Linked DNA regions of Saccharomyces cerevisiae S288C. The main gene of each other region encodes a partner of the protein of the gene in region 2 in a complex. Each region holds a gene or a part of one and is shown on either strand. Other genes may lie near its edges. The genes, in order: PRP31, SMD2, SNU13 and SNU23.

Evidence for each region.
Region 1: SMD2 (region 2) and PRP31 share a complex: the UniProt entries of both Saccharomyces cerevisiae proteins name them as parts of the U4/U6-U5 tri-snRNP complex.
Region 3: SMD2 (region 2) and SNU13 share a complex: the UniProt entries of both Saccharomyces cerevisiae proteins name them as parts of the U4/U6-U5 tri-snRNP complex.
Region 4: SMD2 (region 2) and SNU23 share a complex: the UniProt entries of both Saccharomyces cerevisiae proteins name them as parts of the U4/U6-U5 tri-snRNP complex.

The regions. Positions count from the first base shown.
Region 1 is NC_001139.9:661,254-670,410, reverse strand, and holds PRP31 (U4/U6-U5 snRNP complex subunit PRP31), read right to left. Parts: upstream 4,071-9,157; coding exon 2,586-4,070; downstream 1-2,585. Other genes in the region: DRN1 (Drn1p), read right to left, coding at 1-23; serine/threonine-protein kinase DBF2, read right to left, coding at 504-2,222; rRNA-processing protein UTP22, read right to left, coding at 4,340-8,053. UniProt on the Saccharomyces cerevisiae protein: Promotes the association of the U4/U6.U5 tri-snRNP particle with pre-spliceosomes to form the mature spliceosomal complex.
Region 2 is NC_001144.5:692,782-700,684, reverse strand, and holds SMD2 (mRNA splicing protein SMD2), read right to left. Parts: upstream 6,308-7,903; coding exon 6,303-6,307; intron 6,213-6,302; coding exon 5,885-6,212; downstream 1-5,884. Other genes in the region: YLR278C (uncharacterized protein), read left to right, coding at 1-686; cleavage polyadenylation factor subunit YSH1, read left to right, coding at 1,190-3,529; DBP9 (ATP-dependent DNA/RNA helicase), read left to right, coding at 3,855-5,639; MCM DNA helicase complex subunit MCM5, read right to left, coding at 6,803-7,903. UniProt on the Saccharomyces cerevisiae protein: Plays a role in pre-mRNA splicing as a core component of the spliceosomal U1, U2, U4 and U5 small nuclear ribonucleoproteins (snRNPs), the building blocks of the spliceosome.
Region 3 is NC_001137.3:98,179-106,080, reverse strand, and holds SNU13 (RNA binding protein SNU13), read right to left. Parts: upstream 4,139-7,902; coding exon 3,758-4,138; downstream 1-3,757. Other genes in the region: YEL025C (uncharacterized protein), read left to right, coding at 1-3,500; VMA3 (H(+)-transporting V0 sector ATPase subunit c), read right to left, coding at 4,830-5,312; YEL028W (uncharacterized protein), read right to left, coding at 6,952-7,413. UniProt on the Saccharomyces cerevisiae protein: Common component of the spliceosome and rRNA processing machinery. In association with the spliceosomal U4/U6.U5 tri-snRNP particle, required for splicing of pre-mRNA.
Region 4 is NC_001136.10:284,081-290,208, forward strand, and holds SNU23 (U4/U6-U5 snRNP complex subunit SNU23), read right to left. Parts: upstream 1,086-6,128; coding exon 501-1,085; downstream 1-500. Other genes in the region: BUG1 (Bug1p), read left to right, coding at 1-364; proteasome regulatory particle lid subunit RPN6, read right to left, coding at 1,311-2,615; dolichyl-phosphate-mannose-protein mannosyltransferase PMT1, read left to right, coding at 2,979-5,432; putative dolichyl-phosphate-mannose-protein mannosyltransferase PMT5, read left to right, coding at 5,829-6,128. UniProt on the Saccharomyces cerevisiae protein: Participates in pre-mRNA splicing. Part of the U4/U5/U6 tri-snRNP complex, one of the building blocks of the spliceosome.

The DNA.
Region 1 (9,157 bases), on a different chromosome or scaffold from region 2:
ACTAAAATCTTTGCATTTGTCATCCTATTTTTATATGTAAGTTTTTGAAGTGAAAAAGATATCAGTAAACCATAAGCCCTTTTTTATATATTATGGATCCTTCTAAGAGAGCTACCTTGCGTTTTTTGTACATCTAGCAATGTAGTATCAGTCCAATTTGTAATTATCATTGAAAAAACAATTGATGTTAACACCCATTCCTTTTCATTTTTTGCAGATTTTCGATTAATAGTGGTCATTGCTGTTTTCCTGTAAAACATTACCAAGTTTCGCCGCTCCCAACATGAATGCTTAAGTTTAGTTCAAAACGGTCATGGGATGGACCGTTACCGTGAACTGAGATTTTAAACAATGGGCTTGAAGTCCTAAGTAATGCACAACTATATATATATATATGTATATTTATGAAAAAAGCGTTCATAGGTGCTAGTTGAAAAGTTTGCATGAAGCTCGTTAAAGCTAATTATATCGCGGCGAATGCAAGACAAGAATTCATTTTTACGCTAGTAAAAGGTTGAAAAGGGGTCTGAGTGTTCCAGTCCGTTGAATAAGATGCCACTGGAACCCTGTTTACCATTTCTATGTCGGAAAGTGAACCCAACAAGTTTTGATGATACTGCCGAGTCATCTACCATAGCCGTTAATTTGTCTTGTCTTTTGAAAACATCAGCATATTTGGCCATGTCAGCCTCACTGGTGAAGTCATCAAAATAACCGGCATCAGTTTCGCTGTCTAGTTGGGGTGTAAAAGGCGGGATCATTGACCTCAAAGTACTAAAGTTTATATCTGCAAAATAAGACATGCGTTTAACATGTTCGAAGGATCTTAATCGATTGATTGGATCGGCAATCAATCTTGTTATTAAATCCCAAGTTCTATCGGAGAATGCTGCCCTCCCATCAGATTGTCTCGGTCTTCTTAAAGTTTGTTTCCAGCGCCTTAAGTTGTCATAGGTCTCATTAGTCGATGATCCACTAAATGGTGTATAACCAACTAAACTTTCGAACAGCATACAACCCAACGACCAGTAATCCACAGTAAAGTCATATTTCTTTCCTTCTAAAACCTCCAAAGCCATATAATCCGGAGACCCAACCATGGAGTTCGCATAATTAATTTCCTTCTCCCTCAACTGGTTGTACATTTTTCTTCTATCTTCTATAGATTTCTCTGTAAACGCTGGAAATTCCAGGTCCTTGATTTTTTCTAACCTTATCTTCATACTTTCAATTCTTTCATTAGAAATCGTACCAGCAGCCAAACCAAAATCTGTTAATTTTATATGTCCCTTGGCATCGATTAAGAAGTTTTCCGGCTTTAAATCTCTATGTGTATAGCCTAAATCATGTAACGCATTAACAGCGCAAAACATTTCACTGATGTAAAATCTCGCATGGCCACTTTTCAAGCATCTAGTATTTATTAATAATGTACGAAAATCACCGCCTGGTACAAATTCCATAGCCAGGTATAAACTTTGTAGGTCTTGGAATGCATACAGAAGTTTTACTAACCATTCAGACCTTGTCGTGGTTAGGATATCTCTTTCAGTTAAAACGTGTTTTGTCTCGTTGAGCTTAAACAATAGTTTTTTGTTCAAAATTTTCAAAGCACACACCTCTTTTGTGTCTTTCTTTCTGGCTAAATAAACTTGCCCATAACCACCTTGACCTACTTGTGTGATCATTTCAAAATCCCTATTTTTTGGTTTCAACCTTCTTTTTCTCAAAACCTGATGTTCCCTTTGTAAGTAAGAGGACCACTCTTCGTTGAGTTTAATCTGGTCAGAATTCGGAAGTTGGCTTTGCTGTTGCAGGTATTCTAGAACTTGCTTCGTGCGTTGTCTTCTACTAATTACATAGTCAAACATATCACAGTAATGTTCTAGAAAGTACATTTTGCAAACACTAACAACTCTCTGTGTTTTATTTGAAGTTGCTCTTTCGTAAAACTTTGGTGGAAGCTTCTTGGGAGAGTTCGAGACATCCATATCAGGTTGAGATACTTCGTCTATGTCCATGTTGGAAGTATCTTCGTAAGGAAAAAAGGATGGTTTTACCGGCGAAGGTGAATCATTGATACCCGCAGGCCTTGTCCTCCTCTTTGTTATATTTTGGTTAGGAAATAGTCCAGTGCCCCCAGGAGTCCCATGCCCATCGAAACTCAAATTGCTCATATTGCCTGCCAAGAGGTCGACATTTTTTTCTGATTTTGATAGCATATTAAAGAATTTTTCTTTAGCAAGGAATACTGTAGATGTTGCTTGAATTTTTCTGGTATATTAGTTTCTATCTTTAGCAAGGTTTCTATCTTACAATAATTTACTTGGACGAATTGCCTCCTTGTATTTATTTTTAAATAAACAACAAGCGGAGGGCTTCAACATCAAGGTAGCTTCGAATGATTTAGATTGAGGAATGAAACATGTCATTGTTTACTTTTTGAATAATTACATTTCCTAAAAAGGGCATCTGGGTTGCAGCGTGTGGTGTTTGGCTTTTTACGAAATTTATGAGCGAAAACGCTCTCGCCGGTCACTACTATATAATATCTTTTTAAATATTATCAAGTATGTAGAAGAGCCCTAACCATGACCGGAAAACCAATTGGTCTCTTCTTCTGGGTTAGTATGCTGTTTCTTGTGCATTTGAACCATCTCTGGCGACAGATTCGGTTGCTCTGTATTATGACCCAAGGAGATTAGGAATTCGTCAGCTTGCTGATTAGCCTCAGAAATCCTGTGCTTCATTACCTTTGTTAGCTTGGCTTGATTACCAGCAGATCTTCTGGAACCTGATGTAGCTCCTACTGCTTGTTGTAAAGAAGTATTAGACATACCCAAACCAACTTCTTCACCATAGGAATCAAGAACAGTTTGTTCTTGCTTGCCAAATTCCATCCTATTTTGTAATTGTCTGACATGCGATAGTCTGAATTTTTCCTTGTACTTCCTAAATTTTCTCCCAGCTCTTTTCTTTTTGGGTTGGTCCTCCGGAATAGGTAGAGCCTTCGTTTCAGAAATGCTCGGGGCTTCTGATAGCTTTCTAGCTTTCTTCGATAGTTCGGCTTTCCATTTATGAGCTAAAACTGTATTTCTATCACCGTTTTTCTGGCCAGCATCAACTCTTGCGGCTAGTGATACTTTTGCACAAAGCATCCTAAGCATTTGTTTATGGACAGAAACGGGAAATTTCTGAATCATGTCAGAAGCAAATAGATATCCTTCTTGTCGTACTCCACTCTCTAATGTATGTAACTCATGTGAGAGGTGCTTATTCTTCCCAATGGACGCAATGTTGCAACTGGGAATGCGACTGAACTCCAAAACCCCTCCAGCATGTGCTATTAATTGGGCTGCTATCTCCGGGCCTACCAAGAAACACACGTTAGGGGCAATTATTGATATCTTTGAGGCTATGTATTGACCTATATCTTCTTGTAGTTTCCATAAATTTTCCAATATGCTATTTGCTTCTAAAATTTGCGTCCTCGTTTTGATGTCCAATGGCTCTTTGTTTTTGAAAGACGTCTTCATGGACATTGTTAAAACGAGGATCTGCTCTCTGGTCAATTTTGCTTTATTTTCCAAGTGGAAAAATAGTTCATCACTTTCGTTTTTTGAATAATTTTCATTTTCCAGTATGCTTATCACTTTTGAGTATTGTAATGGTGATGGTATCAATGAAGATAGTTCTGGAAAACGTCTACTGTACAGTGAGATTAGAAAATTGTGCATTAATTTTATATTGCTCTTGATGAGGGGGATGATTTCGTTAAAAAACGGTAACAGTTTAATGAAATCTATTTCTTGTTGTTGAAGGATTCTTTTTAAATCGACAATTTTTGGTAAAATCTGTGCTGTCTCTGATAGAGATAACCTATCAGGACTGATGAGTGCCAACGTCCTGAATAATTCTATACTTTCCGGAAGAATTTCGAATGGATTGAATTTTTCTGTTTGACAATTTACCGTAGTGAGCTTTTTAGTTTGTATGTCTTCTTTTTCCTCATTAACTTCATCGGCAAGGTCATATTCGAGCTCATCGAAATAGTCCTCTTCAGAGCTCATAAGGTCTTTGTATATTTTCTGCAGCCAAAATGCTATCAAATAGTGCTAGTTGAGGCGTTCAAATCGTTTACCTAGCTTTATTCTGAGCGTCGCCACAGCAGTACTATTCAAAACTTTTAAAAATACTAAGTTAACTTGTGCCAAATCGCCGAAAGGACCACATCTAAAAAAAAGAATTAAAGAAAAATATTCTTTATGTAAACTGCCGGCTGCTTTAATTATTTAATATTATACAGATACTTCTAAAAGTTATGATTTTGTTGTTTATTCTAATCTGTCTCAAAATTTATAACCATGTCATTCCCGAATGCAGCAATCTCATGAAATATGGCTTCTTTATTTAAAATCACATTCTCATCATCCACTGGTTTAACGTTGCAATCCAAGTTTACTCTAAATTTGTGGGCTCCCTTGAAGAGTGGCTTTATTAGCCCTGTGATGACATTTTTATCTCCTTTCTCTCCACCATTCACACCTATATACTTGCGGCTTGATAAAATCAAACTATTCTTGTACTTCAAGTTCAAATACTTCACTAACTGGTATGTTGGATCCATTTTTTCACTTAAATCATTCAAATTCTCTGGAAAGTTCGATGGGGCTTGATCGTTAGTTATATTCTTGAACTCTGTGGCTGAAAGTATACCACAGGATGATTTCAAACCTATTGGTGTCCTCAAATCAACGACAAAATCGTAATCTTTTAATCCAGGCGTGAATAAAAGATTGATAGTTTGCTGGTTTAAACCGTGTGTCTGTAAAAGATTCACGGCTACTTTAGCTAATGCTGTAAGCCTTGTAGCAATGGGTAGTGGGATACCTGATGAATAAAGAATACCGCTTGGATCGTTCTTAGAGGCAACAAAAAATTGCAAATGTGTACCGTTGGGATCACTGTTCCTCAAGTTCGTGAAGTTCATTTGAATGCCCTTATATTGTGCTAGGGTTAATCTTTCAGAAAGCTTTTTCATCGTTTTGGAGTCTAGCTCTGAGCCAGCTCCAATACTTGTTTCAAATGTATCTCTTATATCATCTTCTGGTTTTACTAGATCTAAAATCAATGGATCATCTTTCCAGTTCCATTGACTTATAAACTTAAGCACTTTGAGGAAACCGTTTTCAAGAGAACCTGGAATGAAATATGGTGCAGGATCAACAAAAGGTTTAATGGCAATCAACTCTGCTAATTCGTCCGTTATATGACCTAGTAATAAATGAGTGTCCAACCATCTTTTGAATAGTCTTACCACAGGGGAGTAGAATTGATACGAATGAGATATATTCTCCAAAGTACGAGTATGTCTTACGGAAGCCAGATATTTTGCAGTAAATTTTAGGAATGTGGCCTCCAATTCTGGTTTCAACTCATTCCTAGCATTCGCTATAGCTCTTAAATAAAGGATTTCGTCACGTTCAGTTAGAACTCTGAATTTGAATCCATAACCTTCAGGTGTCAAGATGTTCAAGGTTACAATTTCTAAATTGTATGGGATGGATTCATCTCTGCTGAAAAACGACCTATAAGTTGAAGAGTTAGCGCTTAATTCTTCTTGAATTTTGAGAAGAAAAGCTGTTTTAGCCTTTTCTAAGGAAGTAATTTCATCTGGCCATTTAGGTGAGGTTTCAAATTCCAAAATGACGTCTTGAAAGAAATCTGGATCAGAGTATGCGAATGGTACTGGTTGGCATAAGGAAGTGTATCTAAATGCAGAGCCAACCGGTAAGATTGATTTTACAGAAAGCGGTAACTTCATTTGGAAAATTATTTTGTATAAATCGTCAAAGGATTTCTTTAAGTTGAAAAAGCTGCTCAAGTTCAAAACTGATGTTTTAGCACTTGAGGGTAAGTTTGGCAACGGTAGGAAATTATGAAACTTCTTGATAGTCTCATTTGATATTTGTGCCTTTTTTGAAACATGTTTCTGCAATGCAAAGTTAACAATTGAGGAAATGATGGGCTCTGATGAGGATGTAGACCAAACACAACAATGGGTGATGGAGCCATCCTTGAATCTTCTTAAGGAAGATTTAATTCCCCAAAAATTCTTAAAAACGGCTGCTTCTGTAGACATAGTTTCAGAATGAGCAGGGCCCTTGGTGACTAATTTGTCACATTCAGAGGGGTTAACAATCAATTTTACTCTTACAAAATCAAAGTTGAAATGGTTACCTCCTGTGTTAGAGTACACTTTTCTTTTGGTGATTGGAAAATCGGACTTTTGACCAACCATTTCAATTTGGATATATTTGATTCTATCGCCCAATGCATACCTTGCAACATTTGTAATCTTGTGGGCGAGGAAATTCTCCAGAGTAATAAATTTTACTCTTTCCATTGACCCAAATGTAGCAGCTAAAGAAGTTTCTAAATTATTGTACTTACCCAAAGGTAACTGTACATCGTAACACAGATCGTACTTCAAATTGTCAAAACGGCTAATATTAGTCAAAAAAATATTTGAGAATTGGTCTTGAACAACGTTGTTTAGCATTCTCAATGTTTCACCGGCATATTCTTTCAAAATTTGATAAGAAGAAACAGTCATTTTTGTAAGAATATTGACCTTGGTTGACTTATCAAATAAGGTTGGAGTTTGGAAACCCTCATCAATATATTTAGAAGCTGGTGAACTGGAGGAATTCTCTGGATTAGAATGAAATTGTAAATGGCCGTCGTGGCACAAATCCATAGTGGCTAAGTATTTTATTACACCTTTAAACAATTGGTATGATGAAAACCCGTGAAGTAATATCTTGTTACTATTTATACCACCACCGTTTAATAACGCTGCCATCAAGATAGTAAATTCAAAAGTACCGAATCCACCCAATGAACCAGAATGCGACATATTGGATGAAAACCCACGTTGCTGCAGCCATAATCTACCTAAAACAGTAGCTTCAACAAAAGATTCTGTTTGTTTCTTCGTCTTGTATAAATACTTCAGGTAGTTTTCATGTGTTGAAGAAGATAACACTGAAAAATTGTAAAGAGGAGTGGCTGGTAAAGATTGCTCTTTGCTTTCTTGTGCTATTCTAATACAGTTTCTATTGGGTAACAGTTTTTTTGGTTCAAAGACTTTGTATGGGAAACCAATAAGCAAGTTGATAGAGAATCTGGTCTTGTAAAAGTTATAATCAGAAAGAGAATCACCCGTTGGTTTGGAACAACTAATTCTTAAAATTGGTAAAAGCGGATCATTATCAAAATAAGAATACTCGAGTTGCAAAAATGAGTCTAATTTATCTTTTTTCAATAATATCAATAGGTGGTGGGTTAGGTATGCTAAATAAACGCTCCTCTTGTGTAAGCACCTGAAATTTAAGAAATCTTTTTTTTCGAACAACTCCTTTGGCATTGTTAGTAAAGTATCAATGGAAGAGCCGTTAGGTTGATAAATTCCAGCTTTAAGAGCAAAGGAGCCAATTAAGGAGATGTCTGGTTTCTTGTAATTGAATTTATAATTAGTATTTTGAGGAATAGGTTTGGGGTCAACAAATGGAACAGAAACAATCTTGTTTTTGAAGAAGGAGTCCACTTCAGCTAATGACTTTTCCTCCCAATCAGGAATTTCCTGGAGAATATCATATAACTTGTGTAGAAATTTTTCGACTTTCAGAACATGTTTTTGTTTTAACTTCACTTGCTCCAGTAATTCGTCAATTTGTAACTTGAAAATATTAGACTTGAATAATTCAGCCGTTTCTCTAGCTATGTGAATATCATAGGACTCTGTTGCAGTAACCTTTCCATTGTGGCGAGTCGCAGCAGTGTTAGTAGCGACCTCGTTACTTTCAGGTGAAGTATCGCTTTCGTCGTTTTCTTGCTCGGGCACGGTACGCTCGTTGATGGCTTGACTACTGTGATCATTTTCTTTGGATCCGTTGTCAGTTGTGCTGTCCTGTGTGGAATGTTTCTTTTGCACTTTAACAATATTCTGGTCAGAAGTCTCAGATGCTTTTCTTTTAACACTTGTAGCCATGGTATATGAAGGAGATCCTTTGTAAAATTTCTATGAAAACTATAATGTTCTACCCCAAAGTGATTATACCTGTGGTTTCAATAATTCAATCAGAGGATAAATCTAACAAAGGAAACTTTGAAGATTTCTTGGAGTTGGTTCTTAAAGTGAAAGCAAATATCTGGCCTTCAAAAAAGCAAAATGAAAACGTCCTGTTTCCAAGTATAAGAGCTGCCGATTTAAATTCTATTAAAAAATAGAATGGAAAAGTATAAGATTAAAACCCTTTGGTTTGCTTGAGATTCTTGACGTAAAGTGCTAGTGGTACATATTGAAATTATCATTTGGTTAAATTTTCCAAATTACAATTGAAATTTTTCAACGGCATGCAGCGAGCCGTAGGCCGACGTTCCCAGGCAGTGGCCACCACCGGTCCTGCCTAAATCTTTACTCGGCCCTGGGCCAACCTTCATGGATGGCGCGATAATTCTATACCGGTCGCCCACCGGATGGACAGAACTTCCGTACAACAAGCAAAAAAAGAGATATATAAAATTATGCCACCTGTCAGAATTGAACTAACGACCTTTGCATTACAAGTGCAACGCTCTACCACTAAGCTAAGGAGGCAAATTTTTACCAAGAGACTCAGATTTGAGAACTAGGAATTTGTTAAAAATAATGAATACGCACATGAAACATAAAGGGATTGTCTAAAACTATAATTGCAAATTTTCTAAAGAAAAGTGAGGTCACCTACCATCAAAACCAACATATATACAAATAAGGGTACTTTTCAAATTCACAATGTGAATTAGATACACAGAAAAAGAGTTACTTTTAGACTAGAAGATGTCTTAGCATTTTGGTTAGTTTGCTATATATCAAATGGTAGCGCTTGCTCAAAATTAAAGCTTACAGTTGTTCTAAAGGAAGGATAGTTTGAACTATATTATAAATTTATAACCAAAATCACTGGGGTATATAAACGATCGCCAATTAGCCAAAAGAATATGATAAAGTTATCAGAAAACTTGGGACGTATTCGAAGTATGTTATTTCTTGATAAGCTTAAGAAATACATTGGATACTTTGAAGAAGCACCTATGCTTTACAGAAAATTGG
Region 2 (7,903 bases):
GTAATCCTCTACAATCTGCAATATTCTCTAACCATACAAGTGAAAATAAGCAATTAAGAGATGTCGAAGAATCAAATTTCAGTACATCACCCCTAAGAGCAGATTATGGCAATAATATTATCTCCTCGATACCAGCGTCATTTACTAGCAATTCAATTCCGGTCAGTGTCAAACAAGCTCGAAATGGCTCTTCTTCGGGCGATATACTTTTCAGCAACGGTGCTCATGACATGATCAACAATATTTCCACCTGGACCAATAACTCCGTTCTAGATGCTTTGAATAGCAAGTCCATACTACAAACAATATTTCCCCAGAGTCAAGAGCCTTCATCTCTGTCCATGGACAAACAGCAGCAACAACATCAACAACAAAATATGTGTTCTGAAAACAATGTAACCGCTAATAATTTTCAACAGACGCAGAATGACCCTTCGTATAACAGAAATTTGTTCATGATGTCCAATCAGGAAGGTGTACAATATAATCTTGACGAAACAGAGAAGAATGGACCTAAAACACAGGTGGAAGCAAACACTAGCGCAAATCTGCATTTCGACAATGTTATTCCTACAGTAACTAACGCAGACATCAGGAAAAAGCGTTCTAACTGGGATAACATGATGACATCTGGTCCGGTAGAAGACTTTTGGACGATTAATGATGACTACGGCTTTTTAACGTGATACTACATTAATATAATAGTATGTACAAACTCATTCCTTTTTTTTTTTTTTTTTTTTTTCTCTTTTTTTTTAAAAGAACAACTAAATCGCTTTTTTTAATTATGATATGGGTCATATCTTATAAGCCTAATCTAAAACACATTTTTTTCTTTCATTTATATTGTTTTTAAAATCAATAAAACTCTTTCTTTCCTGTATAAAGTCCTCTCCAAAAGACTAAGTAGCGTGTTTGCAAATAAATACGGGTAAGCAGTTATTCTGGCCGAAAATTATGAAAAACTAGCGGATCTTTAACAACTTCTACTGCTTCAGCGCAATACATATTGAGATCACATCTAATAGGTTCAAAATGTTCACGGGTATAAGCGTTTATTTCTTTTACCCTTGTTTTCAGTACTTCAAAAGTTACAGCACAAAAGAAACATTGTATTATCAATTGAATTTTGTCCATTGAGGAAATAAAAAGTAACATAATAAGTTAACATTAATAAGTATACGCATATATGGAGCGAACAAATACAACAACATTCAAATTTTTTTCATTGGGAGGAAGTAACGAAGTTGGACGATCATGTCATATATTGCAATATAAAGGTAAAACAGTGATGCTCGACGCAGGAATTCATCCGGCATATCAAGGATTAGCTTCATTACCTTTTTACGATGAATTTGATCTTTCCAAAGTCGATATCTTACTGATATCACATTTCCATTTAGACCATGCCGCTTCACTTCCGTATGTGATGCAACGGACTAACTTTCAAGGCAGAGTTTTCATGACACATCCAACCAAAGCCATTTACAGATGGCTACTGCGAGATTTTGTAAGAGTTACTAGTATAGGTTCTTCATCCTCCTCTATGGGGACTAAAGACGAAGGTCTATTCTCAGATGAGGATTTAGTTGATTCTTTCGATAAAATTGAAACGGTGGACTATCATTCTACTGTTGACGTCAATGGTATCAAATTTACGGCATTCCATGCAGGCCATGTATTGGGTGCAGCGATGTTTCAAATAGAGATTGCTGGCCTTAGGGTGTTATTCACAGGTGACTATTCGAGAGAAGTAGATCGTCACTTAAATTCTGCTGAGGTGCCTCCACTTTCATCCAACGTATTAATTGTGGAATCTACCTTTGGTACCGCTACTCACGAGCCCCGTTTAAATAGAGAAAGGAAGCTAACCCAACTAATCCATTCCACAGTGATGAGAGGAGGCCGTGTTCTACTGCCTGTTTTTGCTTTAGGGAGAGCTCAAGAAATCATGCTTATACTGGATGAGTACTGGTCTCAACATGCTGATGAACTCGGTGGTGGACAAGTCCCAATATTTTATGCATCAAATTTGGCAAAAAAATGTATGAGCGTTTTTCAAACCTATGTAAATATGATGAATGATGACATTAGAAAAAAATTTAGAGACTCTCAGACTAATCCCTTCATATTCAAAAATATATCTTATCTTAGAAACTTGGAGGATTTCCAAGATTTTGGTCCCAGTGTGATGTTGGCCTCACCAGGTATGCTGCAAAGTGGGTTATCAAGAGATTTACTTGAAAGGTGGTGCCCTGAAGATAAAAATCTAGTACTAATCACCGGTTACTCCATCGAAGGAACAATGGCGAAATTTATTATGCTTGAGCCAGATACAATACCTTCCATAAATAATCCGGAAATAACCATTCCAAGACGTTGTCAAGTTGAAGAAATCTCCTTTGCCGCACACGTTGACTTCCAGGAAAATTTAGAATTTATTGAAAAGATTAGTGCGCCAAATATCATCCTTGTTCATGGAGAAGCCAATCCCATGGGCCGTTTGAAATCTGCATTGTTATCCAATTTCGCGTCTTTAAAGGGTACAGATAATGAAGTCCATGTTTTTAATCCTAGAAACTGTGTTGAAGTAGATCTTGAATTTCAAGGTGTCAAGGTTGCAAAAGCTGTGGGAAATATTGTGAACGAAATATATAAAGAAGAAAACGTAGAGATAAAGGAAGAAATTGCGGCTAAAATTGAACCTATAAAGGAAGAAAACGAAGACAACTTGGATTCTCAAGCAGAAAAAGGTTTGGTTGATGAAGAGGAACACAAAGACATAGTCGTTTCTGGGATTCTAGTTTCAGATGACAAAAATTTCGAATTAGACTTCCTTTCTTTGTCTGATTTAAGAGAGCACCATCCCGATCTTTCTACAACGATATTAAGAGAGCGCCAGTCAGTTCGTGTAAATTGTAAAAAGGAGCTAATTTACTGGCACATTTTACAAATGTTTGGAGAGGCTGAAGTTCTTCAAGATGATGATAGAGTAACAAATCAAGAACCAAAGGTTAAAGAAGAGTCAAAAGACAATCTGACCAATACAGGTAAATTGATTCTACAGATAATGGGTGATATTAAGTTAACTATTGTTAATACTCTAGCCGTTGTGGAATGGACTCAAGATTTAATGAATGACACTGTAGCAGACTCCATTATTGCTATACTTATGAATGTGGATTCAGCTCCCGCCAGTGTCAAGCTTTCGAGTCATTCTTGTGATGATCATGATCATAACAATGTGCAGTCTAATGCACAAGGTAAGATTGATGAAGTTGAGAGGGTGAAGCAAATCTCAAGGTTGTTTAAAGAACAGTTTGGTGACTGTTTTACTTTATTTCTCAATAAAGATGAATATGCAAGTAATAAAGAGGAAACTATAACTGGAGTGGTTACCATAGGTAAAAGCACTGCTAAGATTGACTTCAACAATATGAAAATTTTAGAATGTAATTCAAATCCTTTGAAAGGTAGGGTGGAAAGCCTCTTAAATATTGGTGGTAATTTGGTCACACCGCTATGTTAAAAACAGTTACGCATACTAAGTAGACTACTTTATAGAAGTAATACCAAACCAAAATCTGGTTAGAACTGCCTTTTATTGTTTACCTTAATCACTCTTTACGTAATGAAACCTAGAGATGAAATTTTAAAAATTTTTTTTCACGAACATAAAGAATAACTCTTCTAGACCATCTCATCTCATCTCATCTCATCTCATTTCATTTCGATTCTTCTAATTTCTTTCATTGAGTAAGAGCCTTTTGTTTTGGCTGATAGTTATAGTCAATCTACAATTTATCTCACAAAAGAAATAGACTAAGCCAAAACTGCAACGAAAGATCAAAAAAATGAGCTATGAGAAAAAGTCTGTGGAAGGCGCTTATATTGACGATTCTACAACGTTCGAAGCATTTCATCTCGACTCTCGTTTATTACAAGCTATTAAGAATATAGGATTTCAGTACCCAACATTAATTCAATCACATGCTATTCCTTTGGCTTTACAACAGAAGAGAGATATTATAGCAAAGGCCGCTACAGGTTCCGGAAAAACTTTGGCATACCTCATTCCTGTAATTGAAACTATCCTAGAATATAAAAAAACAATTGATAACGGAGAGGAAAATGGTACACTAGGTATTATACTTGTTCCAACAAGAGAACTGGCTCAACAAGTATATAATGTTTTAGAAAAACTAGTCTTATATTGTTCAAAAGATATAAGAACTCTGAACATATCATCCGATATGTCTGACTCAGTTTTGAGCACTCTACTTATGGATCAACCAGAAATCATAGTTGGTACACCTGGTAAATTATTGGATTTGTTGCAAACAAAGATTAATTCTATCTCATTGAACGAACTAAAATTTTTAGTAGTTGATGAGGTGGATTTAGTGTTAACATTTGGTTATCAAGATGATTTAAACAAAATTGGAGAGTACTTACCATTGAAAAAAAATTTACAAACATTTTTGATGAGTGCAACCCTAAATGACGATATACAGGCTTTGAAACAAAAATTTTGTCGTTCTCCAGCTATTCTTAAATTCAATGACGAGGAAATAAATAAGAACCAAAACAAATTACTTCAATATTACGTTAAAGTCAGTGAATTTGACAAATTCTTACTATGCTATGTCATTTTTAAACTTAACTTAATCAAGGGTAAAACATTAATTTTTGTAAATAATATTGACAGAGGATATAGGCTCAAGCTAGTTATGGAACAATTTGGTATCAAGTCCTGTATTTTAAACAGCGAGCTACCCGTTAATTCGAGGCAACATATTGTTGACCAATTCAATAAAAACGTTTACCAACTATTGATTGCCACAGATGACACCGAGTACATAAAAGAGGAAGATGACGAAATAGAAGAAGGGCACAATACAGAAAATCAAGAAGAAAAAAGCTTGGAAGGCGAGCCTGAGAACGATAAGAAACCAAGCAAGAAAAAGAAGGTCCAAGTGAAGAAAGATAAGGAATATGGTGTTTCTCGTGGTGTTGATTTCAAAAATGTTGCATGTGTCCTCAATTTCGATTTACCTACGACGGCTAAGTCCTACGTGCATAGAGTAGGTAGAACTGCTCGTGGCGGAAAGACCGGTACTGCAATTTCATTCGTAGTCCCACTGAAAGAATTTGGTAAGCATAAGCCATCAATGCTACAGACAGCAAAGAAGGATGAAAGGATTCTTTCACGAATCATCAAACAACAGAGCAAACTTGGATTAGAATTACAGCCTTACAAATTCGATCAAAAGCAGGTCGAGGCGTTCCGTTACAGAATGGAAGACGGTTTCCGTGCTGTTACTCAAGTTGCCATTAGAGAAGCTAGGGTCAAAGAGTTGAAACAAGAACTATTGGCAAGTGAGAAGTTGAAAAGACATTTTGAGGAGAATCCAAAAGAGCTACAAAGTTTAAGACACGATAAAGAATTACATCCAGCAAGAGTGCAACAGCATTTAAAGCGTGTTCCAGATTACTTGCTTCCTGAATCAGCCAGAGGAAATGGAACCAAAGTCAAGTTTGTTCCTTTCCACAATGCTAAGAAGCGCCATTCACATAAAAAGGGAAGAGTCAGTAAGCCAAAGAATGGTAAAGTAGACCCGTTGAAGAACTTCAAATGATTAATAATATTGATATTTATTCTATATTTTATGTAAAAATCTACTTATTAAAAATGCTCTTTAGTTAAATGTGATAATATAGATGCTTTATTCGTTTTCTTGAATATAATACTTTCGCAAGAGCTAGAAAATCAGCCAATAATAATTGGTCTTACTTCCAAAATAAAAAAAGGCTTTCCGCTGACTGTAAAGTTTCTTACGATGATTTGCTTTCCTTGTTGATTGAGGGCTGCTTGTCTTACTTTTTACTCAACAGGGGTTTTTAACACAACGATAACTGAATCACCTCTTAAGAATAGTTTACTTATGAATCTTTCCCGATTAATTACATTTTTGCCCTTCTTCTCTGTCCAAAGCTCCTTCACATTTTCTAAAACCATATTACAATGCCTGTCGAAAGCTTTCACTCTCGCTATTATTTTATGATTGTTTCTTAATGAGATTATCACAGGTGTTCTTGTCACCATAGCATCATTTATCAGGGACATTGGACCATGTTTGAATTCAAATTCTTCTAGTTCCTCTAATTCTGCTCTAGAGAGTTCATGTTTTGGACGATCAATTATTTGTGAACTGGAAAGATACAAATCAATTACTTTTAAGTTAGTATATAAAAATTCACTCCAAATTATAGGATGTAAAAATGGTTAAGATCAAACATACGACATGATAAAACGGTTTTATAATACTCCTCTAATCAACTGTCAAAGGCGGGGCAAACGTGATGGCGCTTGCTATTAAGAATGATGATGTTCTAGTGATGATGTTCTTGTCATACCTTTTGAGTAAGATAATTTTCATTTGGTAGTATTACCCGTAGTAATATCACGATAGGACAAATTGGTCCCCATAAAGTCACTTCAAGAGCTCATGTACTGTAGGATTGTTCAGTGGTAAATCGACCTCTATTTTCTAATTTCTTTCGTATGTCTTTGATTTCAATTTCTTTTTTAAGAAGCTTTGAATTATTTTGATTGACGGTCATATCAAGTCTGTGCGTTTATTATACAAAAAGAATATGAGACGCAGATGAAACCTCAAAAAGTATAATTTCGTTTACAGAATTTATATAGAAATATAATAATGAAGTATTTGTAGCGAATTTTTTAGATTCATTACATGCAAACAAGTAGAAAAGGCGTCAAGCTAAGACTTTATTGTTGTCATACACCACTTCTGTAAATATTCTGTCCCTGGTGTCTCAATTGAATTGTTTCATGCTTCTCTAGGGCATATAAGGCCTTATCCAGTGCTAATTGAGAAAATCTATGTGTATCTACAAATTCTCTCCTCAAAGTTTGATAAGAAGTAGACCAGCCTATAGGTAATCTTCTTTTTAGTTCTTGTTCAAAACGACGGATTTCTGACAAAGATGTTCCGCTTGCTTGATTTAAGCCGCCAATTGGATCCTGAGACGCTGCGTCCATTGTGGAAGCTTGAAACAATCTAATAGCTTCGTCAACATGTCTCTCCTGTGCAATAGGACTTAATTCTAACTTGGCTAATGATTCTGTTATTCTAATAATAGCTTCTAATTGACGAATGGTAATTGGAATAGACGACCTTTCCGTTGACTCTAATTCGTTGATTAATAATTGCTTCCTAATGGTGACGAAGTTCGATGACAGTTTTTCAGCGGCCTGCGGTGAAAGTCTTGGTGCACATTTCAATCTACAATACGTAATGTAACGTTTCATCTTTTCAATACTAATTTCACTGCCATTTTCCTCTTGTTGGTTTTGCATAGCATTAGCATTTCCTGTATGAATATTAATAACGTGGTTAGCTATTGAAATATCACGTTCTTCATTATGGTCATCCTTAACAATAAAAATCATATCAAAACGGGATAAAATAGTAGTTTGGAAATCAATGTTGTCACCAGGAGACTTCAAATCATCATACCGGCCGTATATCGGATTAGCAGCCGCTAAAACACTAGTTCTAGAATTTAGCACTGTAGTGATACCAGCTTTTGCGATGGAGATTGTTTGCTGCTCCATAGCTTCATGAATGGCCACTCTATCTTCATCTCTCATTTTATCGAATTCATCGATGCATACAACACCACCATCGGCAAGCACCATAGCACCACCTTCCAAATAAAATTCTCTTGTCATCGGATCTCTTTGTACACTGGCAGTTAACCCAGCTGCAGAAGATCCCTTACCAGATGTATATACCGCAATAGGTGACACTTTCTCCACAAATTTCAATAGTTGAGATTTGGCGGTACCTGGATCACCTAATAATAGTACATTGAT
Region 3 (7,902 bases), on a different chromosome or scaffold from region 2:
TAACATCTTATAGATCAAAAGATGAGGCTGAGAAGCTGGTAAGTTGTCTTCATCACGAAGGAAGTTACTTTTTATGTTTTAGCTATGGATTGTATACCGGAACGTCCAACGAATTGAAAGCGAAGGTTGAGTTCGCTTTAGATGGACCGTTCGTTGTTAACTACGCAACTGTACCGATGTTCATGTCAGCTTCCTTCTGTCACCTGCTAATGTTTAACGACGGTTCCATTAAGGGATTCAAATGCGAAAATAACAAATTTGAAATTATCTACGACTCTAATGTGGCTCCGAAACTGGATACTATTTCTTTATTAACTTCCAGCTGGTTAAATGCTTCCTTTGAGGGTGTTTTATACACTTGCAATAAAAACATATCATATGATAGTGATTTGCATACGTTATGTACGACAATTTACTCCTTTGACTTCAGAGAAGGAATAGTCGAAAGATTTTATGCCACCGATGGCGAAGAAATTATCTCCTTTGATTTTATTAGCAGGGAGGATTTGCTTGACGACGCCACATGCACAGGTAAATCACACGTTTATTTTCTTTGCCTACTTAAGAGTTGCTATAGTGAAAACCTGTTTTTAAAGGAATACAATCTTGCTGGAAAGCATGGAAGTAGGAAATTTGATTTAAACGAGTACCGCCAATACAATCTTTTGCCGATATGTGATAATGAATTTTGTTATATGAAGGTAGTTTGCGGCCATACCATTGTAGTGTTGACTACTAACTACACTCAAATAATAAATATAAAAGCAAGTGGGCTTACAAACGGGGCTTTTTTCAATAATAAAGGTCTCCCAAATGTAGAAAACTACCAATTTCTAAAAGATTCTTATGATGTGATATATGAAAGATCAGTCATTCTCTTGACAATTTCTGACGTGTATGCTAACAAATACACTGCCAAGATACACACTAGGTCGTTACATAGAGACCACGTCCTGAAAGAACTACAATGGACAAAAGAAAGAGTGTTCAAGCCTCCTAAACATGATCTATGCGATGTTATTTTGCAGCTCCCACGTGAAAAGTATATAGCGGTGACAAGAATAAATGGAGTAAATTTTATATCGAAAGATCATCGAGGTTCAAAATTAGAAAAGGTGAAAAGCGGTCCCGCTTATACAAACAAAGTTTACCTGGCATCACAAGTTATTGGAAACAAGGGGACAGATATTGATTCACTGCTTTTGGGTGGAAGTTTTAACTCAAGAAGAGGATTTTTAGAAAAGAAAATTTTGGTATATGACAAAACCCTGTTCAAGTTAGTGACTTCCTCCAAAGCGCTAGTAGAGAATGTAACTGATTTTTGGGTTACAGATTTAGCACTTAATGGTGGTGACGAATTTGCATATGAATCAGGTGGGTTGATTTATAAGAACGGAATATTTTTAATGGATGAGCCTTATGATTACGGTCTATTTGTTTCTAGGACGGGAAAAGTTTTGAAAGCCGGTATGGATGGTTCTACCGGAGAATTTAGGCAGGTCGATTTCTTGCAGTCGAACCACAACTCTTCCACCATGTTTTGTTATCCCGTACAGAACTCCAAGCTCAGGATTTCGATACTTGAGGCAAAATCTGGTTTTCTACGTAAAAAAGAAGAATTTTTTATCCATGGGCTCAATTCTAAAGAGAGTATTGTGAGCTGTTTCTCAGATGGTGCCGAGAAATACCTTTTTGTCATTTACTTGGACGGTGTGTTTTCGGTATGGAATGCCAATCAAAAGAAAGTGGCTACATCACATCCAGACTATTCTTTCATAGCCTATGATCAATTGATAAAAATATCTTGGCTAAGCAAAAAGCATAAACACGACTCGATTTATGTCATCGCATCATCATACACTGGCTGCGTAAGAGTCTACAAATCAGAATCAAATTTTTTGAGAGTGGATTTAGAGATTCATTCGTTATACGATCAGAAATTAGAACTGTTGGATACGATTCCTTCCTTACCTTTGGTTTTCCTTTACAACGATAAGGAAATAATTTTGTTAAATCTTCAAAACATGTCTTATGGTTGCATACAGTTAGGCTTAGTTCCAAGACGAATGAGAATTCGACCCGGTAAAGCACTGTTCTCTCTTTGTGTTTTAGATTATGATTCTCGAATAAGCATCTTTGAGTTTGGTAGCACGTTTTACCGTGAAGGTTTCACTAAGCAGATGACTTCATTAAAACCTCAATTAGAAAATCATATCTTTTACCTCCCTAGCATTCCCGTAGAGCTCTATACTGTTCCAAATAACCTCAATCAGGCCGTGGTGTGTTTGGTCGATAGCAATAGTAGGCAGTATAAGTTGATGCTATTCAATTATGCTTCAATGAAGGCAGTTTCCACATTCAGTTTCTCGGATGAAAAGTATTTACATGCCGTTGTGAAGCCACTGTGGCCAGAACAAAACTCAATCTACTTATCACAGAGACCCTTTTATGGTAATAAGTTTGTTGTATGCTTAGGAGTTGGTGAAAAACGTACAAAATTCTGGCTGTTTGAAATTAGAAACAATAACATTACCCAATTGTACGCGAATTATCTCGAAGATTGTATATTCTCGGTGTTCATATACTATGAGTGCAACTTGGTTTTATTTTCTGGTGATAGTGGCATAGCAGCATATAAAATAAACATGCTAAAAGAGGGCGCGGAAATTTTAGAGGCCTATTCCTTCCCAGCACTTTCATCGATTAACCATATAGGTCTTCCAGCTTATATGAGTGGTGATTATCTGGTTCAATTTGAGATCTTGAGAGATTTTTTGAGAACCCGCTTTCCAATTAGGACGTCCATAGTATATCCATCAGAGTACCCTGAATGTCCCTACTTGGGTTTTAAGCGGTTGGGAAGCATTACACAAGTGGCGACTAAAATAATTCCTAAGAAGCTAAGAGAACCTAAAAACGATTGTTTAGCGAGTGATAAGAACTATCTATTAGGTCGATTATCAGACCTTTCTTGTGCAACGTTGAAATATTCCAATAGATCTTATGTTGCCACCATTGGTATTGATAATACCTTGACAATATACGAAGATTCTAAATTATCAGTTGATAAGGGCGGGTTGGCTATGCCATACCTCAAAATTCGGTTACCTAATAAGATAATCTCACTGGCGGCCATCCCAGATGGATTTCAAAACCTTCAAATATGTCCAAATTTCAATAGTCAAAGGTTGGAAGGCGTCATACCTCTATTTTTACTTTGCGGTACTGAGGGCCAAATTTATATAATATCGGAATTCATTGGTGAGCTGTGGATGAGAACGTTGCATGATTACAAAAAGATCAAGCTCGAATGTAAAAGAGCTTTTCGAAGGTCTGAGAAAAGCATGCGAAATGTTACTAAACAATATTCCGTGAGTAAAGAGACTGGAATAAATGAAAGCGGCTTTGATGAGCTAGCTAGAAATTCAAAGAGAAGACATATAGATCATTCACCATACAAGACCATAGATTTTTTCGATCCTGTAAAACTAAAAAGGTGACAATAAATCTCCTACGAACGAATAGGTGCCATGAGATCTTGCACCTTTTTGTTATGCCTAAATTACTACAGCTCAATTGATAATACATGTTTGTGCATTTACAGATGCACTCGAGTAGGTTATTCAATGAAGATATGACATATATCATACCACTAACAAAACAGCACTATTAGCGTCTGCACTAGTGGAAAGCAAAAAACTTTTTTATAGTATATAGATGGTACAAAAACTATGTTGATAGATATAATCCAATCTACTTAAATTAATAAAGTTTCAATCTTGTCCTTGACAGCGTAGATTTGGGTCTTGATAGCAGAAGCATCGTTGGTGGTAATAGAAGCAGCAATAACTGGTCTAGAAACACCACAAGCTCTACCTAAAGCAACTCTAGATGGAACAAAGACATATGGAACATTCTTGTCTTCACATAGTAATGGTAAATGCAATAGGATTTCAATAGGTTCACAGTCAGCAGCCATAATGATGAATTCGGAGATACCACGGTTCAAAGTTTTGGTAGCTTCGTTGGCACCTTTCTTCAATTGTCTCAAGTTAGCAGCCTGTTGAACGACATCCAAGATTTGTTGGGTTAATGCAGCATCGGCTAATGGGAAAGCCTTTGGGTTTGGGGCAGACATTTTTAATATAGTTTTTATAGTATGAAATCTGGTTTATTCAAGTTCCTTGCAATAATCAGTATGGTCCTGGTATAGAAAGCTCGCTCGAATGATGATTTAAATTAAGATTTGAAAGTAGGACTTGAACACTAAGAGGAATAAGCACTATTAACCAGAATAATCAGTTTTAAAGTGAAAAATTTTCTAACTCATCTCATTCCAGCATTAGAAAAAAAAATTTTCTGAGAAAAAGGAAAAATGAAAAGAAAAAGAAAATAGAAATGAAAAATTTTTCTATATGCTGAATTTATTACCCGGATAAAACCGATAAGAAAAAGAAACGATACAATTGTCTACTTTAACAATAGAAGTTGATAAGGTTGGGCCTCTTTTAAGAGTACAGGTATAGTGATCTCATCGTACCCATTGTGTAGCTTAAAACGCATAATGCTCTTTGTTGCTCCTTGATATTCAAATTTTCTATTTTATACACATTAAAAATTAAGATATACATATTTAGCGTGTAATACTCTTTTAAACAATAATAATGGTACTAATAAAAAGGAAGCTTGAAATGAGGTAGTTTGGATATGAAGTAAGAATAGGGGCTATAAACAATCTCTAAGATGAAAAATTTTGATAGTTTTCATAGTTTCTCACAAAAAGATTCTTTTGTATACTCTATTCCTGCTTTAGTGATTCAGAAGCTGCCTTAACAGACAACATCTTGAGTAGCCCTGGAGTTCAACAACAAAGCAACAATCAAACCGTATAGACCCAAAACTTCAGCAAAAATCAAAATCAAAATCATACCGACGAATAATCTTGGTTGTTGAGAGGAACCTCTAACACCTGCATCACCGACAATACCAATAGCGAAACCAGCAGCTAGACCACTCAAACCGACTGATAGACCGGCACCCAATTGGATGAAACCGGTGTACAAAGCTTGCTTTTGACCCAACGAATAACAAACCAAAACGGAAACAACTAAACCGTAAATGGCAATGATACCAGCCATAATAACAGGAACAATGTTCTTGAATAATAGGTCTGGTCTCAACACACAAGTGGCACAGATACCAACACCAGACTTAGCAGTACCGTAAGCAGCACCTAATGAGGTGAAGATAATTGCAGAGGCACAACCAATGGCACCAAAGAAAGGGGCGTAGACAGGACACAATTCAGTCATTATATGTATATGTTTCTTTTGTTATTCTAATTGATTAGTCTTTTTGAGAAAAGCAATAAACACGATCTTCTCTTTCTTTTAAAAAGATTTTTATAAACAAGTTTTTAATCAGAACGAGTGTATAATTGTACAAAACTATCAAGGGTCAGTCAATCACTTAACCACTTTTTCTGTTTTTTTTTTTTTTTTTTTTTTAATGCGTTTCTTTTCCGGGTAATATCCCTTTATACGATTCAAATTTTTAGCAATGGAATAGGCCGTAGACGGCCGTAGACGGCCTATTTCATTGCTGATAAAGAATTCAGTTCCTCTATCTTTCCTAAGTTGAATATTGTGCAATAATAAATTCATTATTAAAGAAGATGTACAATTAATAATAAATAATTGCTGGGTGAATTTGTAAAAAAAGAAAACTGTAATATAGAATATATAAAATAAGTTGATAGAAATACCTAACTAAAACAATAACAATTATTAATAATAACGCAGAAGTTAAAGCTTATAGTCTATAGCTTAAATGATTGCGATCTGTGTTATTGTTGCGGGCAAAAAGAAATGAAAAATTAGCGCCGCTCGGTTTCGATCCGAGGACATCAGGGTTATGAGCCCTGCGCGCTTCCACTGCGCCACGGCGCTTAGCCAACTTGAAAGAACTGGATGTTAACTTTATTTATTAACACAATAACAAATTCTTCTATCTCTATCTCTCCATGTCGCTTATATTGAGGTCCGCCAACATATCACTTAATCTGTTACTTGTAGTGGCATGTTTATAATTACTATTTCTTAGCTCATTTCAGGTATTTTGCGGTTAATTATAAAAGTAACCGCATGTGTTCCACAGTTGTTGTCAGTTGATACTATTTTAGGTGGTTTATGCTGTTTCAACCACGACAACTTCATCCTCTCACTGGACATTTTTGAACACTAATTGAAGTTTCCAATACCACTCGTCTTTTAGGCAAAGGTATTTTTCAAATATAGTTATGAAGGCGTATATGATGGCATTTGGCTCATTTGGGCAGTACGACATTTGTTCATTTCCGGTAGAATCAATACCTACGTGTTAGTTTACCTTCCGATGGTGATTTCTCCCATGGATATTGCAGGAGTAACAGTCGGTTATGATTCACTAACTAACAGTTATATTTTGCTGGGATATTATTATATACGGCGTTAGAAGACATGAAATGATGAGAAGCAGTCATTAAATTTAGTGGAAGCCGAAATGTAAGGATTGATAACGCAGTAGGATAATGAACAATAAAACATAAAATGAAAGGAGAAGTGACGCTTTTAGAGCAGTAAATTATAACGTAGAGGACGAAGAAATGTGTGCATGGTTATGTAGATTGTTGATTCTCTTTTGCGAACTCCTGTGACCTAGTGGAGAATTTTAGCAACTCTGTAGGCCTAATAATGTTGTCTTCAATCAAAATGGGACTTGACAATTACTCCAATATCCATCTAACCTATATCGTTATCCTGTCATCATCTATGATATCGCTAGACGTTAGTAGTAAATTGCTTTCTTTACTGCGCATCGTCGAGATATTTGCACCATTCATGCATACATCTTTGTGTATAAAAGATGTTAATCAGAATTATCATACATGTACATAACGTAATACCTGAGTACTTACTGAAACTCGACAATTGGATGTTGGAAGGCATTGAGTTCTTGCGTTGTTAGCCGTTTGTTGTTCCTAAAGTGAGGTAAGTCCGTATGGTTGACGGTGGCATCGCCAAGTTTTGCCATATAACTAATCCCGCTAGGAAAATAGTCGTATTTGTAATGAGTGAAGTAGAAACTATGCCCGTAGTTACGATAACAGTATGACACTGTCTTCGTCATAGCGGTAGTGTTAGCTTCCGTACGATTGCTAAATATGATAAAAGTTCCAACAGTATCTGTAGCCGCTATTTTGTTGCTTGGAAAACCAAGCACTTGTAAGTACTTTAACACATTACGAGCATCAGTTAGAGTGGTGTTATCACGTAATGAGGGCAAATTTGCACCATTATGAAGTAGTGTGCCCGCACTTGCGAGCTCGACGATCATGACAAGAAAAAATAGAAGGCTTGTTATTGTTATTTTCATTTTTTATTTGGATCTGATATAACTACGATGCAATTTGACAGTGAAGAAAAGTTATGCTTCATCCAATCCTAAGCGCGATAGTGGGAATGCACCCTTTAACATGGCCTTATTAAGTTGTCTAAAATCTATGCATTGGCGGTAACTACCAATCATATTTTTCATCATATAGATAATTGGTAGATGTTGGGTTGACCTGGCCCATATTACATAGATATGAAGAAGCAAGCTCGCAAAACAGACAATTAAGTATCTATATCACATGTATTCATTGTAAGGAAAAAAGTGAAAAAAAGATGAGGGTAGAGAAAATGAAAATAAGCCTCTTGTGACGGAATATTACTATTGAAAAATGCACACGTAGTTGGAATTAGCAGTGGAGGAAATTTACCTCCCAACACTACTTGTTTTGGAATTTCATTCTTATCAAAGGCATTCACGTTGTAGAAGAGTCAAAGTTCTATGTGAAGTCGTTCATATCAGCTTCCTTTT
Region 4 (6,128 bases), on a different chromosome or scaffold from region 2:
TATGGAAAATGAAACTACTGTCGATGACCTACAGGATCAATTGCAGGAAAAAGAAGACATCATTAATGGTTTACAAAACGATTTGCAAACCGCAAGGGATGAATTAATTGCCGCAGTAGAAAAATTAAAATTAGCAGAAGCTAAGGCAGCAAGAAATACCACAGCAACTCCTATTCAATTTGCGGATTTCAACACTTCAAGCAATAATCTAACTCCCTCACAATCTGTAACCAATTCTGGTACGCAGGTGGCCCACGGGAATAATATGGAAGTGGATCGCGTTATGCTGAACAAATGGCGCCAGTGGAACGTAGACATGACCACTTGGAGAAGTATTGGTTCTGGCCCAATAATGGAATTTTGAGAATGAATATTTTCGCGTATATATTTTAATTAAGGGTTTATATACATAAAAGATATATCTAATGATCTGATCTGAGTCCCGACTTTTTATATGTGCTCTATGCTTGTATTATGCTCATTTATCTTTACTTGGTTTCTCATTTTTTAGAGGTGGCAAAATTGGAAAATCCCATCATTTGACTGACTTTTGATTCACTCTCAATAGAAGGCTTAGTAGCCACTTTCTTTGCTTTCTCCACATCTGTGTCCAAAAGCCTTTTCCTCTTGGACTGAGTCTCCATAGAACGCACCTCTACAAAATCCTTTATCAAGTTATGATAGCACAACTCAAACTCCTCTTGCGGTACGTCATCATTATCTCTTATATCTATAATTAACGGTTCATCAAACAAATTTTCAAATTTTATTGCATGGACCTTGTGGTTGAGATGATCAATGTATTGTAAAGTGTCTTTGAAGGTTAGGTTACAAATATCGCAGTAAAATCCGAACTTCTTTCCCCTCTTGAAAGACGATAAGCTCTCTGTATTTGCTGTTAGTTTCCTTTTATTTAGGTCTTTTAGCGAGCCCTTGATTAAATGATCGTAATTTGTATATTTGGATTTTAAAGCTTGTAATTCAATCGGTGTTAGCGTAGCCTTTAAGGATCGATCGTCATAGCCGCTTCTAGCCTGCTCAGCATACTCCTCTCTATCCCAAGTTCTTCTGCCAAAATTCGACATTAGCTTTCTCGAATTTTTGTCAGCTAAGGCTTGTAGGAACTTCTGGTTTTGATGAACTTTCGCATCAACTGTTTTCTATTTAGCGGCGCATTCGATTAAACTTCTTCCTTTCTTAGGAGAAAAAAAAGAAAAATCATACTTATGTATTTTCTGCATTTTATAAGTTTATTTAGGAATTCTTACTCTGGTACTTGTGAGTATACATACATATATATACATGTAAACCTAATACAAGACACTTGCCTTTTCAAATAGTTGATCGACGACTTTATTTAGTTGCCCGACTAATTCCAATGCAGAGTCGTACGTGGCATCCTGATTCGGAGTTTCGTAAACGTAAAGCCAACCATTACCTTGATCCAGAACACCGTAGAATATCTTATCTAGTATCATTTGGGAGAGCTTTCCTTCAACTTGTTGAGTATCCAGACCGATTATTTTGGAAATGTGGGATATTTCCACACATTCAAATGGCTCAATAATCTTACACAAATTGGACTCTAATAACGTGTCGTATAATGCATTGAAATGGGATCTTGTTAGTTCATCGCCCATTAGTTCCTTCTCGTATTGCTTTAGCGCCGTGTTGAAGTCTAAAAGCGATCTGTTGTTATAAGCCTCAGCGACAGCTTTCATGGCATCAATGCCTCGGGACTGGTACGTTTCCTTTGTGTATTTTGCGTTTAGGATGTTTTTTACGTCATCAATAAGGTTCAGCATGATCTTAGACAATAGCATGTATTTCAACACTTGACATGCCTTTTCGTAGGAATTATGCGTAGTCAAATTGTGGTAGCTTTCAAAACTTTCGAAGAAATACGAAAATGCAGTTTTGTAGTCTTTATCTTCACAGTGCAGGATACCACTCATCAAGTCCAGCTCCGCAACTGTTTGTGTAGGACAGTATATGGAGTTAGCGGCCGTCCTTGCTGCAGTCAACGAGGCCTTGGACTTGGCTAGATTCCTCAGTTTATGGTAAACTTTACTTTCCAATAGATGTACATCAACCAAAGAGGGCTTGTCGTCCAGCTTTTTGAACTCCCTCAAAAGATCGTTAATCAATGCTAATGAGTCCTTGTACTGTTTCTTTTGATAATGTAAGGTGGCCAATTTGATCGAGAGTGAATGCTTCAAAAACACCCTTTTTTCTCTCTTGGCAAATTCGATGCTTTTCTCGCACACAAAGATCTGATCGTCCAAGGAGTCCGGCACTTGCTCGAATTTTTCAATCAACGTTTTCAATACCTTTACCGTTTTGGATTTGGCAAATTGCATCATATACTCCGTAGAATGAGGAATAAACTCGCGCAATTTGTCCTTTGCACCCATAGTCACGTATAACTGTCCTAATTCCAATATGCTTGTCTCCTGTTCATTTCTACGCTTGTCATCCACACTGGCACCGGCAGCGGCGCTGCTCTGTGAGCTGTCTTTATCCAGCAGGCTCAAATAGACTTGTTCTGCCTCATTATACTGTTTTTCATTAACCAGTCTCCTGGCCTCTTCTAATTTCGAACCTGGCAGAGACATGAAGTTCCTCGTTTATAGATTAATCACCAATTGTCCTCTTTCAGCGCTTCTGTTAGTTGGCCTTATTTAACGGATCTTTGCTTCAATTACGCTTTCTACCAACATTTGCCACCCTTGGAACCAGAAGAGAATATACATCATTCGGGGTTGCCCTGCCCATTTATATCGTATATTGTGATGATATACCTTTTTTTTTTTTTTCGCTGCGTTTTTTTTCTCGACACGTGTCGAAGAAGAGTTTGGCGTTTCTAAGCAGATCTTGATTATTTTCGAGCAGCAAAACAAGACAAACAGGTGCATTGTTAAAGCGAGGTAGTATCAGAAGAGCCTATCAAGAAACAGCTAACAGCTACAAGCACGGTCATGTCGGAAGAGAAAACGTACAAACGTGTAGAGCAGGATGATCCCGTGCCCGAACTGGATATCAAGCAGGGCCCCGTAAGACCCTTTATTGTTACCGATCCGAGTGCCGAATTGGCCTCGTTACGAACCATGGTCACTCTTAAAGAGAAGCTGTTAGTGGCCTGTCTTGCTGTCTTTACAGCGGTCATTAGATTGCATGGCTTGGCATGGCCTGACAGCGTGGTGTTTGATGAAGTACATTTCGGTGGGTTTGCCTCGCAATACATTAGGGGGACTTACTTCATGGATGTGCATCCTCCTCTTGCAAAGATGTTGTATGCTGGTGTGGCATCGCTTGGTGGGTTCCAGGGTGATTTTGACTTCGAAAATATTGGTGACAGCTTTCCATCTACGACGCCATACGTGTTGATGAGATTTTTCTCTGCTTCTTTGGGGGCTCTTACTGTTATTTTGATGTACATGACTTTACGTTATTCTGGTGTTCGTATGTGGGTTGCTTTGATGAGCGCTATCTGCTTTGCCGTTGAAAACTCGTACGTCACTATTTCTCGTTACATTCTGTTGGACGCCCCATTGATGTTTTTCATTGCAGCTGCAGTCTACTCTTTCAAGAAATACGAAATGTACCCTGCCAACTCGCTCAATGCTTACAAGTCCTTGCTTGCTACTGGTATTGCTCTTGGTATGGCATCTTCATCCAAATGGGTTGGTCTTTTCACGGTTACATGGGTGGGTCTTTTATGTATCTGGAGACTATGGTTCATGATTGGGGATTTGACTAAGTCTTCCAAGTCCATCTTCAAAGTAGCATTTGCCAAATTGGCCTTCTTGTTGGGTGTGCCTTTTGCCCTTTATCTGGTCTTCTTTTATATCCACTTCCAATCATTAACTTTGGACGGGGATGGCGCAAGCTTCTTTTCGCCTGAATTTAGATCTACACTAAAGAACAATAAGATCCCCCAAAATGTCGTTGCTGATGTCGGCATTGGCTCCATTATCAGCTTGCGTCATCTCTCTACCATGGGCGGTTATTTGCATTCTCATTCACACAATTATCCAGCTGGTTCGGAACAACAACAAAGCACTTTATATCCTCACATGGATGCCAATAACGATTGGTTGTTGGAACTTTACAACGCACCCGGCGAATCTTTAACAACATTCCAAAACCTAACCGATGGTACCAAGGTCAGACTATTCCACACTGTTACAAGATGTAGATTACACTCTCATGACCATAAGCCACCCGTTTCAGAAAGCAGCGACTGGCAGAAGGAGGTTTCTTGTTATGGTTACAGCGGATTCGACGGTGATGCTAATGATGACTGGGTTGTTGAGATTGATAAAAAGAATTCTGCTCCTGGAGTTGCCCAAGAACGGGTCATAGCTTTGGACACAAAGTTTAGATTGAGACATGCTATGACAGGCTGTTATTTGTTTTCCCACGAAGTCAAGTTGCCAGCTTGGGGGTTCGAACAACAAGAAGTTACCTGTGCCTCCTCCGGTAGACATGATTTAACATTGTGGTACGTTGAGAACAACAGTAACCCATTGTTACCAGAAGATACCAAGCGTATTTCCTATAAACCTGCAAGCTTCATTTCTAAATTTATTGAATCCCATAAAAAGATGTGGCATATCAATAAAAATTTGGTCGAACCTCATGTTTATGAATCACAACCAACTTCATGGCCATTCTTGCTACGTGGTATAAGTTACTGGGGTGAAAATAACAGAAACGTCTATCTATTAGGTAATGCGATCGTATGGTGGGCTGTCACCGCTTTCATCGGTATTTTCGGATTGATTGTTATCACTGAGCTGTTCTCGTGGCAGTTAGGTAAACCAATTTTGAAGGACTCCAAGGTTGTTAACTTCCACGTTCAGGTTATTCACTACTTATTGGGTTTTGCCGTCCATTATGCTCCATCTTTCTTAATGCAACGTCAAATGTTTTTGCATCACTACTTACCTGCTTATTATTTCGGTATTCTTGCCCTTGGCCACGCCTTGGACATAATAGTTTCTTATGTTTTCCGCAGCAAGAGACAAATGGGCTACGCGGTAGTGATCACTTTCCTTGCTGCTTCTGTGTATTTCTTCAAGAGCTTCAGTCCAATTATTTACGGTACACCATGGACTCAAGAATTGTGTCAAAAATCGCAGTGGTTGTCTGGTTGGGACTACAATTGTAACACATACTTTTCTTCATTAGAAGAGTACAAAAACCAAACCTTGACTAAACGTGAATCTCAACCTGCCGCCACTAGTACAGTTGAAGAAATCACTATAGAAGGGGACGGTCCGTCGTATGAAGATCTCATGAACGAGGATGGCAAGAAAATCTTTAAAGACACAGAAGGTAATGAACTAGATCCAGAAGTTGTCAAAAAAATGTTGGAAGAGGAGGGAGCTAACATTTTAAAAGTAGAAAAAAGGGCTGTTTTGGAATAAATTTCCCAGTACTCTCCACATTTTTATGTAAAGTCTTCTATAAGCTCTCGAGCGTATAATTAAAAACGAAAATAGACAAAAAAAACATCATGAATAAAAAAAATGTCTTGAAGCTGACTATATTGTCCATCTGCGTTTAGAGACACGTATTCTATTTCGCTCAAATAAGTATGATCTGCAAGTAGTTTCAGTGGTATTATCATTTCGCACCGTTTTTTTTCCAAGAACTCGTTTACGTGCCGCGAAAAGTCTATCGAATAGGCATTCGAGAACAATAGAAAAGGAACAGAAGCGTAGTACATATTATGCATAGACCCGTTTCTTTTCTTCTTTTTCGAAAATATTCTTATTGATTTAACAATTAAGCAGGTGTGTAAGATCATAACTGCTTTAAAGATGAATAAAGAGCATTTGCTGAAGGTGGATCCCATCCCCGATGTGACTATTAAACGCGGCCCTTTGAGGTCTTTTCTCATAACAAAACCCTGTGATAATTTGAGTTCATTACGAACAGTTACTTCATCTAAGGAAAAGCTTCTAGTTGGCTGTTTGCTGATATTTACTGCCATCGTAAGGCTACACAATATCTCCCTGCCAAATAGTGTTGTTTTTGGTGAAAATGAAGTTGGTACATTTGTTTCTCAATACGTGAACAACATATTCTTCACCGATGTTCATCCTCCTTTAGTGGCAATG